Drosophila melanogaster: one gene and its partners. The protein of the gene in region 2 interacts with the protein of the main gene of each other region in a pairwise test. Each region holds a gene or a part of one and is shown on either strand. Other genes may lie near its edges.

Evidence for each region.
Region 1: the proteins of CG5890 (region 2) and CCAP interact in a two-hybrid assay, tested with the Drosophila melanogaster proteins (one large-scale study listed by BioGRID).
Region 3: the proteins of CG5890 (region 2) and klg interact in a two-hybrid assay, tested with the Drosophila melanogaster proteins (one large-scale study listed by BioGRID).

Annotation. Positions count from the first base shown.
Region 1 is NT_033777.3:22,700,396-22,704,150, reverse strand, and holds CCAP (crustacean cardioactive peptide), read left to right. Parts: upstream 1-2,066; 5' UTR 2,067-2,671; coding exon 2,672-2,782; intron 2,783-2,983; coding exon 2,984-3,047; intron 3,048-3,100; coding exon 3,101-3,393; 3' UTR 3,394-3,569; downstream 3,570-3,755. Other genes in the region: CG6972 (uncharacterized protein), read right to left, coding at 1-58, 126-242, 299-499, 559-897, 1,112-1,225. UniProt on the Drosophila melanogaster protein: Cardioregulatory neurohormone that increases heart beat rate during adult wing inflation; has no effect on beat amplitude. The effect of CCAP is both ino- and chronotropic.
Region 2 is NT_033777.3:25,854,141-25,857,895, forward strand, and holds the start of CG5890 (uncharacterized protein), read left to right. Parts: upstream 1-2,013; 5' UTR 2,014-2,833; intron 2,834-3,755.
Region 3 is NT_033777.3:22,897,149-22,900,903, forward strand, and holds the start of klg (klingon), read left to right. Parts: upstream 1-2,135; 5' UTR 2,136-2,462; intron 2,463-3,755.

The DNA of each region.
Region 1 (3,755 bases), 3.2 Mb from region 2:
CGAATTGTTTTGGATGCGGTCCAATCATTTGAATGATCATCGGTACGTCTTGCGAGACCTGAAAAATAGCAAAATATTCGAATATTTGACAGCTGTCAATTTGGGCTACCCCGAATATAGGTCACTACCTCGAGGAATCGAACGAGGGCCCTCAGGGTGCGGAAGATTTGGTCTTCGTTGGGACTGCTCTGGAAGAACTGAAGAATGGCCATGGCCAGCTCCACGGCGATATCGTCGAATACCTGCAGATATATATCTTGTATCTACGATATTTTCCAATACTTTGCATACCACATACCACAGTCTTCACTTCCTTAATAGCAATGTTGTACAGGATCATGCTGCCAATATTTTTCAGCTGCGGGCAATTGGAGAGGATGCAGTGGACGGCCACCTTGGTGGTCACTCGTATGTTGGAGATGGTCTGACCATTGTATTCCCACTCCGAAATGTACAACAGCCATTCGGAGGGACCCAGGTTCTCAAAGAGATTGCACATCTGAAACATATTGAATATATAGCAAACTTATATATTCATTCTCCCATTGCGGGACCTACAAACATGGCCCAGGCCTGCTGCTCCTCGGGCGTCTGCTTGTCAATGTCCTGGGCGTAGTTCATCAGTGTGTGATCCCTTCGATCCTGGTGCAGAATGATGATCACATCATCTTTGAGCGCCGCATAGGCCAGCGTGCGGATCAGGTGTATCCGTGTGTCCGGCGAGAAGGCCTGATTGTCACGCAGGACGCGCTGCACGAAGATCAGAAAGTTGTCGCCCAGCGCCCAGGAGCCATCGTCCTCGATCAGATACTGATGCAGCTCCTCCATGGCCACTTCCTCCTCCTTGTAGATCTTGCCATCGAGCAGTTTCACTAGGCTCTCTAGCTCAGTCTTTATCTGTGGGAAGTGGAAGTGGAAAGGATAAGATATATGATGCATTTAGCGATGATTCGGCATTAGATAATATAAGTCACAGATTTACTGCAATTTTCAAAAGTGCATCTAATTGTTTACAAACAAATCAGCCAGTTTGTAATTGTGTATATAAGAAAACATTTTTGTTGGTTTTTTTTTTGGTACTTGGATACAGCTTCCTAGTCTTTGGACTTACATCGATGTCTTTGAGGACCAGCGCCGGTTCGCGTGGTACTTCCTTCTCCTCCGTGGACTTGGAGCGCTCCTTGCCGTTCTGGGACTGCTGTTGTTGGGCTGCGGGCTCTGACATCTCTGGTCTATTAATAGCCGCATGAGGAAATTATAATAATAAAATAAATTGTATAGTCAAAATTAAATGAACATGCATTCGCATGGGACCACAACAAACTTTCGCTGCGCAAGAGCCATTAAATTGCAAAGGATTTTCACTTTTTATTCGATATTATTTTTTACGATCCGCCTGCGATAATGTTGTAATTTTCAGCACAAATTGCCAATCAGGCGTGCTGAAATGTTTACAATTTCGGCAGTAGAAATATGTGAGGAATTTGATGTTTCATATAAACAAAAAAGGCGGAAAAGCATTTAACTTAATTAACAGCAGAGAAGCGCTGGGAAATGAAAAGGAAAAAAAAGAAAAGCGGTTGCCGGCGACACCATTGGGTAGGGGAAAAGTTGTCAAACCGAAGTGTGACAGTAAAACTGAGGAAAACTCAAAATAGCCGTGGTATTTTTAGTTTTTTACTTTACGTAGACAAAAACAAGGTACAGAAGATTCTCAACTGGCAACACGAAATTGCATGCAATGTGATATAAACGACTTTTTTCCGGCCTCAACCGACAGAAATTGGTAATTATAATCAAATAAAATGTTGAGATATTCCCAATTAATATGCATAATTTATAGATTTCCAAATTACTCACATGCTATTTTAGTAGAAGTGACACAGAAATTCCTACACTTTCGACACCAAATCGTGGGAAAGTCGCGAAGAAATCACAATTTAAAAATCAACTAGGGCACAAATGGTATCAGTTGTTTATTCAAAATTCCGAAAATGAATATATGGTTATTTATTTTCCAGATCATGCAACTTTTGTAGAACTTTTCATTGAATTCCAGAGATTCGAGTAGCACGCGAACCGTTTTGGCAGAGAGTCGCCTCGAAATTGCCTCTGTTTGTTCGGAAAAGTCTAGTGGAAGTGTGAGGAAAAGTTTCGGAAAATGCACACTCAAGCGCGTAGGAGCGATCTGTGAGTGTGTTCTTTCGGATATATCCGATCGGATCGGGTCTTTATAAATAGATACAAACGCCTCAGTTCGCTCGCGAGCGAATTATGGCCAATGCAGCTGCACTGAACGAAATTAGTGACAATTGCGGGGGATTTTCGCCCACTTTAAGCCTGCCCAAGTTGCGTTTCAAATTGAATTTGCAGTGGTTTTTATTACACTCGGCAAGGGCAAGGACCATCCTTCACACGTCAATGCAATGTTAATGTGCGGGGGCGACCCGGCTGGGAAAGGTCGGGAAAAACACAAAAAGCCATTAAGTGGCAACCAAAATACATTCCAGGCCCAGCTGGTGGTCCTGTCGCCTTCTGAAAGCAACAAGTCTCACATTGCGTAGCCGAGATGTTGACCAAGGCCCAAGCTGCGGCCACTTTCATTTGGCTTTCGAGTGTTAAGCGCGTCGGTTGCTAAGTGGATCCTTATTAAAAAAAACACACTCCTGCAATGAGAACGTCCATGAGGATTTCCCTGAGGCTGCTTGCACTCCTGGCTTGTGCCATTTGCTCTCAGGCTTCGCTGGAAAGGGAGAACAACGAGGGCACCAATATGGCAAATGTGAGTTATCAATGGATTAACTATTTCATTAAGACCCAACAGAAAGTGGAAGTAAATTGTGAAATTCGTTAAATTAGTTAAGCGGAGTTATAATCTAAGTTGATAACGCGACGCATTGTTTAACGTTCATTTACATACCTAATTAAATAGTTGTTACCTGATTAGTTTTGATATAAATATAATTTATCGTCTTATTTGCAGCACAAGCTAAGTGGCGTTATACAATGGAAGTACGAGAAGCGACCGTTTTGCAATGCATTTACAGGTAATTTTAATACAATATATAATAATATCCATTACAATCCGGACGATTTACAGGCTGTGGACGAAAGCGTACGTATCCCTCGTATCCGCCATTCTCGCTATTCAAACGCAACGAAGTCGAAGAGAAACCCTATAACAATGAGTATTTATCCGAAGGTCTAAGTGATTTGATCGATATCAATGCCGAGCCAGCTGTGGAAAATGTTCAAAAGCAAATCATGTCGCAGGCCAAAATCTTCGAGGCCATCAAAGAAGCCAGCAAGGAAATCTTTCGGCAAAAGAACAAACAGAAAATGTTGCAAAATGAAAAGGAGATGCAGCAATTGGAGGAGCGCGAAAGCAAATAAATCGAAATAATCGGATAAATCGGAATTATCGGAATAGTCGGATTTCTGGAAAGCAAATTGACTGGACGGTTAGCACACTGCTTTTGTTATTGTACATACTATCTTTATCCATGACTCCTTGAATTGTGAAGAATTCCACAGCACTGGCATTGCATTCAATAAAAATTGTTGACCTCACTTTTTGTTGTTTTCTGGTCTATTGTATTTATTGGTAATACATCTGATTATAGAAAACGGTTTAGAAAGTTCATTATTTTTACCACACTGAATATACAATATGTTACCCTATGCTATCTCTTGGTGACATTAGTAATTGGTAATCGCAGTTGGTTCTCGTATCATTGCATACTTATGATAACGAT
Region 2 (3,755 bases):
GATTGCTTTCGTCATTGTTGGCGACGCCACAAAGTCTAGTGTTGCATGCAACACATTGCAATGCCAACAGGCGAACGGATGGGGGTGGCTTCAACGGTGGTGATGAGTGGTGAGTGCCTGCGGTTCGTGGCCAGGGTCATTATAATTGCGCCTTAATTATTTTCAACACGCAGCTGTCATTTTTGCCGGGCCCCAGATTTCCGCCATCAAATATTTAAGACGCATGCAACGTGGCGTATGCGTAACGCCAACTGCTGCCAGCGGTCACTCGGTGCGGGCGAGGGTGTTGAAATAAGGCCAGTTAAGTCACTAAAATAATTACACAAATTAATTTAAATTGCATAAAGAGGTGCATACGAAAGAAGGACTAATTATGCCAGCTCTCAAGGCAACAACTGTTTTTACCCCTTTTTTCACAGCATGTTTTATGTACTGTACCCTATATTGTTAGGTCCCCGAGCGTTCTTCCATGGTCATTAGAAATTTAATTAAAAATTTTGATATTGTTAGGAGTATAGGGAATTCTATTTATTTCAAGCTTCTTCCGCCCGATTGCCCATTAAGCGGTATTAAAACTGTCTTCCCCTCGGTGCCAAAGTGTCATACTTGTGCATATTTCACACCCTCGCTCGCATTCACAGAAATGTGTGCACATTTCGCAGGCAATGAGCTTTTGAACATTTAATGAGTTAATACGCTAAATTTGAAAGCCGCTCAAGCGTGCGCCAAGTGCTTCAAACACTTGTCCCCATCCCCGAGCTGCCCATTTTCCAGCTTGAATAATGAGAATGGGGGTATCAAGCCGCTAAATCCAGCACTGAAAAATTTTTCATCAACTTAATAGAAATGTGTTTATTTTTTAATAATATACATTTAGTTTGTAAGATATGTGAAATAAAATAATTTCGAGTTATTTATGAGAATTATATACGAATAAAAGATCAAAAAAATAAAACTAAATTTTTCTCAGTGTACGCACACACGCATATGCAAAACACTAAGCACTTGTCATTTGGCTGTAAACCCTACGCGTCCGTTCGTTGGTATAAAAAAAACAGTGCAAATGTCCAACAGACGAGCATATGTACATACATATGTACACTATAGGTATGTGCGATGTATGTACATATGTACATATGTGCGAAATGGAGGATTGGTTGGCTGTCGTGGCGTCGTATTCATCCTGAACTCATGGGTGTCATTTCTCAGGACCCTCGCGGTCTGCAGGATAACAGCAGCGTAACAGAAGAAGACCCTCACTGGGGACCAGGACCAGAAAAGTAGAGGCTGCCAGACTGCCTCACTTTTGGCGTTCAAGTGAAAGGACGAAGTCGCCGACACTGGTGTGGCAATACTTTTGGCAGCCAATTGTGCGGGCTGAGCAAGATGAATGAGGAATATGAGTGTTGCTTGCACAGTGGGCTACTTTCAAGGGTGTTGGAAGATTCATAACTATCTTAAAGATGCTTTCAGCAGTACTTCTTATGTGCGAGATATAAATTCAACAATTTCTAGATTTTGTAAATAAATATTTCCTTCTCTTATCCAAAATCATTTATAATAAAATAATAATTATTTTATTATAATATACAATATAATAATAGTTGTCATGAATTTAAATGTCACAAACAGGCTGTCTTTCATTAGTAACATATTTTAAAAATTACTCATACGCCACGTTGTCAGTCAAGTAAATATATTTGCCATTTAAAACAGCTCTTCCAATATTATTACAATTCAAACTAATTATATGCGTTATGTGGCTACTTAGTCCACTGTAACCGCCGAGGGCTATGCTATACCCTATGTGCCGCCCGCAACCCAAGTGAGTGCGCACCCACTCTCCGGCGAACTCGCTCTCCGTCTCCGGCGGAGTGGCTCCGGATATTTCGGCAACAGAAGCCTGGCTGCGATAGCCGGAGATTTTCCGAGCGAGGGAAAACCGAATGCCGAAGCGTCGCTGCTGGCAAACATTTTCCATTTTCGCAGTCCTGTAATCAGTTGTGTATAGGACACTCGCGTGCGCGCGTCGAACGGTTTCTGGCTTTATTTGTGGGAAAAGTGTGTGTCTGACGGCGAAACGGTAAACGGGGAAAACGCTGCGCGGTTTTTGCTGCTATCGAGTTCTTCTTTTGCTGGATTTTATATATGGAAACGATTGTTGCTGCTGTATCATTGCAGCTTGCAGCTTTAAATTTAACTTAAATGCTAAAACATCGTTTTGAAAAGCAACGCGAGAGTTAGACAAACAAGTTGGAGGAAATTTTCCAGCTACAGCTACAGCTGCTGCCTCAGCCAGCGTCGCAGTCGCTGTTCGAGATAAAGGATATGCCCGGATCTAAAAGATACAGTTTTTCCTCTTGTTTCTTTTTCCGCTGCTGCTGCTCGTGCTACATTTGCTGCTTGGCATTTTCCGCACAGCAACAACAATCGTTGAGACAGGACCGCAAGTTTTGCTAAAATGTAACATAACACCAAATAAGCAGAGTTAGGAAGAGTGAGCGCCAAATAATGCAAATAAATGAATAAGCCCAAATCATTAACAAATTAAAACGAGGCACGCAAAGGAGGGCAGGAAAATATAAATATCGAAAGGAGTCAAGTCAAGTGCTTTCGAGGAGCTGTTTGCTGACATGCTTTGAGGTTAATACCACCCACCACCACCCAACCGCCCACTACCACCCATCTCAACCATCAGCCATCACCAACTCCTCCTACCTCCCTCATCTCCGTTTTGGCCAATTTCTCCGTCTGCTTTCGCCGCTTTCTTCGTCAACGCCGCTGCTGCCGCCGCCGCCGCCGCTGCTGCCGTCACCATCAAAAGGCATCGAAGGTAAATATATATGTTATATTTTAGCCGAGTGTGTGTATATAAGTCAATGGGCCAACAAACTAACCTACAAAGTAAACAAAAGCGTTACGCTACAAATGCAAATTTTTCGCACACATGCTCAAGAACTATAAACAACAACTCATTTAACTGACGCCATGCCCCCATAAAAAAACCAAAAACAACGCAGCTTAAGACTAGAAATGAAAAAAAAAAAATGGAAAACAAACAGTGAAAAGGTGGAAATGGCACGGCAAATGAAACACAACAAAGCAAAACGCACGCTTCTAAAGCTATTTGTATAAAATTTTAATCGCATGCGATTTATTTGACTAGGCGCCAAAGTCGCACGCACGCACACCATCGCATTTTCGCAGAGGCACCCACACACACACACACGCAGGCTAGTGAAAATTCACACACTCACCTTGAAAAATGCGAAAAAACAGTCTGGAATATTTTGTTTATTTTTCGCAAAATTATGGAAAATATTTATGGGCTCTATTTGAAGTTTGAGCTGTGCCAGGTTTTTCATTCAATAATTGAGGAAAATAATGAAAATGTTTAAAAAACGCATCAAAGAGTATTTTTGTGAGATTATATTTAAAATTGGATGTGAGGCTTCGATTTACTATTGAAATGTTAATTTTCATATTTATTTAAACAAATAAGAATCTGTGTTTGAAGACGCACCTGGCTGCAATTGTTTACTGTTTACGGCACTGTGAAAATATATTAAATTGTTCATACATATTTTTAACTTTTGGCAGAAGTGTCGACAACTTGTTTATAATTTTCCAAAATAGTGAAGCTTTACATATGTTATTTTTTAGCATTGCGGTAATATATGGGTGAGAATCGAATATACTAACATATTCCTTGAGTATACGATTTGTTTGTTTTATTTTCTTTAACAATATTACAA
Region 3 (3,755 bases), 3.0 Mb from region 2:
TTTTATAAGTTCAAGCTAGTTTCAAAAATAGTTATAATTTCTGTTAACTGATTTCCTTTTGATACATCTCCAAATTATTCCAATTACTATTAATTAATTACAAAAAACAAAATATAGATGTTGCATATGAATTTAATCTACTGCGATTGAAGTCAAATTGTGCAAAATTAAAAATGAATTGTTTTGTTGAATTTAATGGGACAAACTTTATCTTTAAAGTGCCCGAAGGACGAGAGTTTTACACGGCGAATTCGTATAAATTCAGCTCATTTCACGCTGACCGCCCCCACAGATTGTTCCACTTGCTTTAGTGGACATGGCACGGGCCAGATTGCGTAATCGTTTTTCATCCGCGAGGACCCCTGAGAGCCCACCTGTATTGCCTCCCCCCACCACCCCTTCCACTACCCACGGCGTTCGGTGTGCTTGATGTTCGCATTTTCGAAAAACAAATTTATTTTCAAGCGCGCCCAATAAATTGAAACTGACTGACCCACCGCCATCGCCTGTTGACCGTTGACTCGGCGGCAGTTGTTTCTATTTCCATTTTCCGGGAAAAATTGTGGGATGGGCGAGGCGGAGGTTGAGGATTATGTCTTTATGTGCATATTTTGGAATTTTATAACCGTTGCGTTGCGTCGCTGACAGTTGAATGGAGGGGGGGAGGTGGGGAGCGTGGAACGCGGACAGATTCCTGTTTTTCACTTTTCAGCCAGATTTCGCCATTACTTCTAATGAAGTCAAAAGCCCCGTTGCTACAAGAGCGAAAACTGAAACAAAAGCTGAAACAAAAGCTGAAACAAAAGCAGTGACAAAGGGCCAAGGGCAAGCGGTCGCGGGGGAAAAGCGGTTGGAAAATATTCAAATTAATTTCAGGACATCTCCTGTTGGACATAAGTTCCTTTTGACCAGGTTGTTGTCGCCATATTTTGCGTGTTCGCCGCCACTGCCGACGTTTTTAATCCTGACTTATGGACTTCCGTATTCGGTTTCGTCATCAGCGTAATGCCTGCTGCTCTGTCGGTTGGGATGGTTGGTTTTCCCTTTGTTTTCCGCCGTACAAACTGCTGAATCGCTTTTTACAGTTATCCGGATGACCTGTGGGTGGTTGCTGCCCAATGCCCCTGGTGCAAATGTTGATGTTGATGTTGTTCCTGCTGTTTAGTTTTAATTACACGCGAGCCTGCCCTCGGTGGTCACGCCTCGATAACTTGATTTTCCAGCTCTAACTCATGTGAAAAGTGACAGCGTTGCGTTCACCTGGGAACTCGTCGCGTAACTTTCACTCACCGAAACTAGCAGGACATGCCGCAATTTGTCTCCCACTTCGAAATGTTGCCAAAGCAGTTCGAATGTTGCCAGCCGATTTCCAGCAACACCACGCTTCCAGCAACAAAGGCTGAAGTCAGCCCCTCGTTTCGGAGCAAAATTCGGAGTGGCATTCGTGGCGAAAAATATGATAGGGGTAGTTTTCATATGCCTCTCTCTAGGCAAAAAGCTGACGAAGAGTGACTGCTGAGCTCAAATAGCTTTAAGCGACAGGTGAACAACATGATATGACAGCATTACATGATCAATTTATTATATGTGGCTTGTGCTGAGAAGTGGCTAAAAGTTATTTAAATCGCAAAAGCAAAATATTGGATGATAAAAATGAAAAATTTGATGTAAAATGTACTTGCTGTAAAAGTTTGAATTTCAAGCTGTCATATGTCATACCTTCAAAATAAGATAATAGTTAAATCAGTTGTTTAAGTATCAGTTTCAAAAAAAAAAGAGTGTGAGTACACGAATTTAAGTAAAAAGAAAGAACAATCCAAATAAACGATATTTGTACTGTATTTTGTTATTGTCTTTTGTAAACAAAACTGTTAATTATGTTTTATGGCCAAAGCCAGGGCAGCGCAGCCTAGTGTCTAACAACTTGAGTTGGTAATGCCCATTTCGCCGTGGCACAGTTGTCCTGAGGCGAACTGGGAGAGAGCCAGCCATCTTTCGCTCTCTGAGCAGTGCCCTCTCTCATCGTCGCTCGGGTGGCCTCGTGGGCGTAGCCGAAGTGCACCGAAGCAACACGAAGTGTTGAGCCGAACCCGAATGCAGGGCGCTGAGAAACGACGGCGAACGGCCAGCAGTGTTTCAGTTGAAAGTGAACCCTTCGACGCAGTTGACACGAATCGCGCGCGACTCGTTCTAAGTGTTTTTCAGCAGGAGCAGAAATCCTGAAGCTGAAGCCAAAAGACCCAGCAGGACATCAGCTGTGCCAGCGAAAAGGATTCTAGCTGCAAGATAATAGTTATTTGTGCAGTGTGCTAACCTAAAAGCAAGCAGTTCTCAGACTGCAACTAACTAAAACAAAGCCAAGTGAATAAACTAAGCCAATAAGATATAAAAGTGAAAAACTTTAAGGATAATAAAACCGAAAACGATCGCTCGTCACATGAGTTCCAGTGCCGCTGGCGCAGGTAATAATTTGCAGCATATTAGTGAATTCTTGTGGGAGCTGTTCGCACTGAAATATTCAAATTGGCACCGAATGTCGCTTAGAATATAAACGTGTACGTGCTGCAAGGACTCGACTTGAGCCAGTGTTTACATTTTGGATTTTATGCGATAATACTCAAAGCCATCAGCGGCAGAAGTGGTAGCTTCGCTATATGGTTGGCTGTGTTATACGATGGCTAGGAGCCCAGGTGGGTGGTTGGGTGGCTTTGTGGCTCCTTTACCCCAGCCAGCTGCCAAATAAATAAAGCAACAATAACAGGGCGGGCAATAAAAGCCACCGCCAAGGGCTCAACCGCCGAACGGTCTTAGCCAAGAAGAGAGTCTGCGAAAGTAAGCAAAGTAACAAAACCAATTTTCATTGTTTTGCGGTGGCTTCCAAGTCGCACTTTCCTCTTGTTCTTTTTTTTTTTTTTTGTTTTTTGCAAGAAGCCGCCTTCAGAAACCAGAAGTATAACAAAATTTCCCTTAACACACACACACACATACACACCAAGTGGGAAAAATAAGGAAAATGTGCAAATGCCGACATGAAATGAAGTAGAACTTGGCATGTGGCGTCCTTAGTTGTATATATGTGTATGTGTGTGTGTGGGTGTGCTGGTGGGAAAATGTTTGTGAAAATGAGAAATGAAATAAACACATGCAATGGCGAAAAGCGAAAGCTTCATAAAAATCCGCTGAATTTAAATACTTAAGAGCATTCGCCGAAAGGCATTCCTGCCGACTTCTTCTCATTTGGGCAAAAGTTTTGCGTCCCTGAAAGAAGAGGTAAATACCCAGAAGCTGTGTAAATTAGGATCCAGATCCAGGCAGACTTAATCCCGGAGAAGCAAACGATAATAGGGATATCATACGATGGCGCTGTGGATGGGGCTTCGAGTTCTTCTGTGGCATAAATAAGTCGTTTGCAGCTGTTCGTCGGCATTTATTTGGCTGCCTGTTCAGGACATCACAATTGTTTCTGGCATTTGGTTAACCTGCAAGTATTCCGCATTCGAGACGTGTACACCAATTTCATATGCTAAAATGCTCGCAAAATCGAAAAAGGGAAGCCGGAATCGTAACCACACAGGCATTGGCAGCCCCAAAGGGGCGAAGACACGCGCTGCCTGCCATTTAATGCAATTGATTTGTGTTGCCTAATTCGGTTAGACGCGCTTCTACAATGCCAATTGTGCGAGCGATTCGGAGCACTGAGAGAAAATATGACAGTTAGATTTATTCAGGACCCCATCGGTAGTCTGTATCAACAC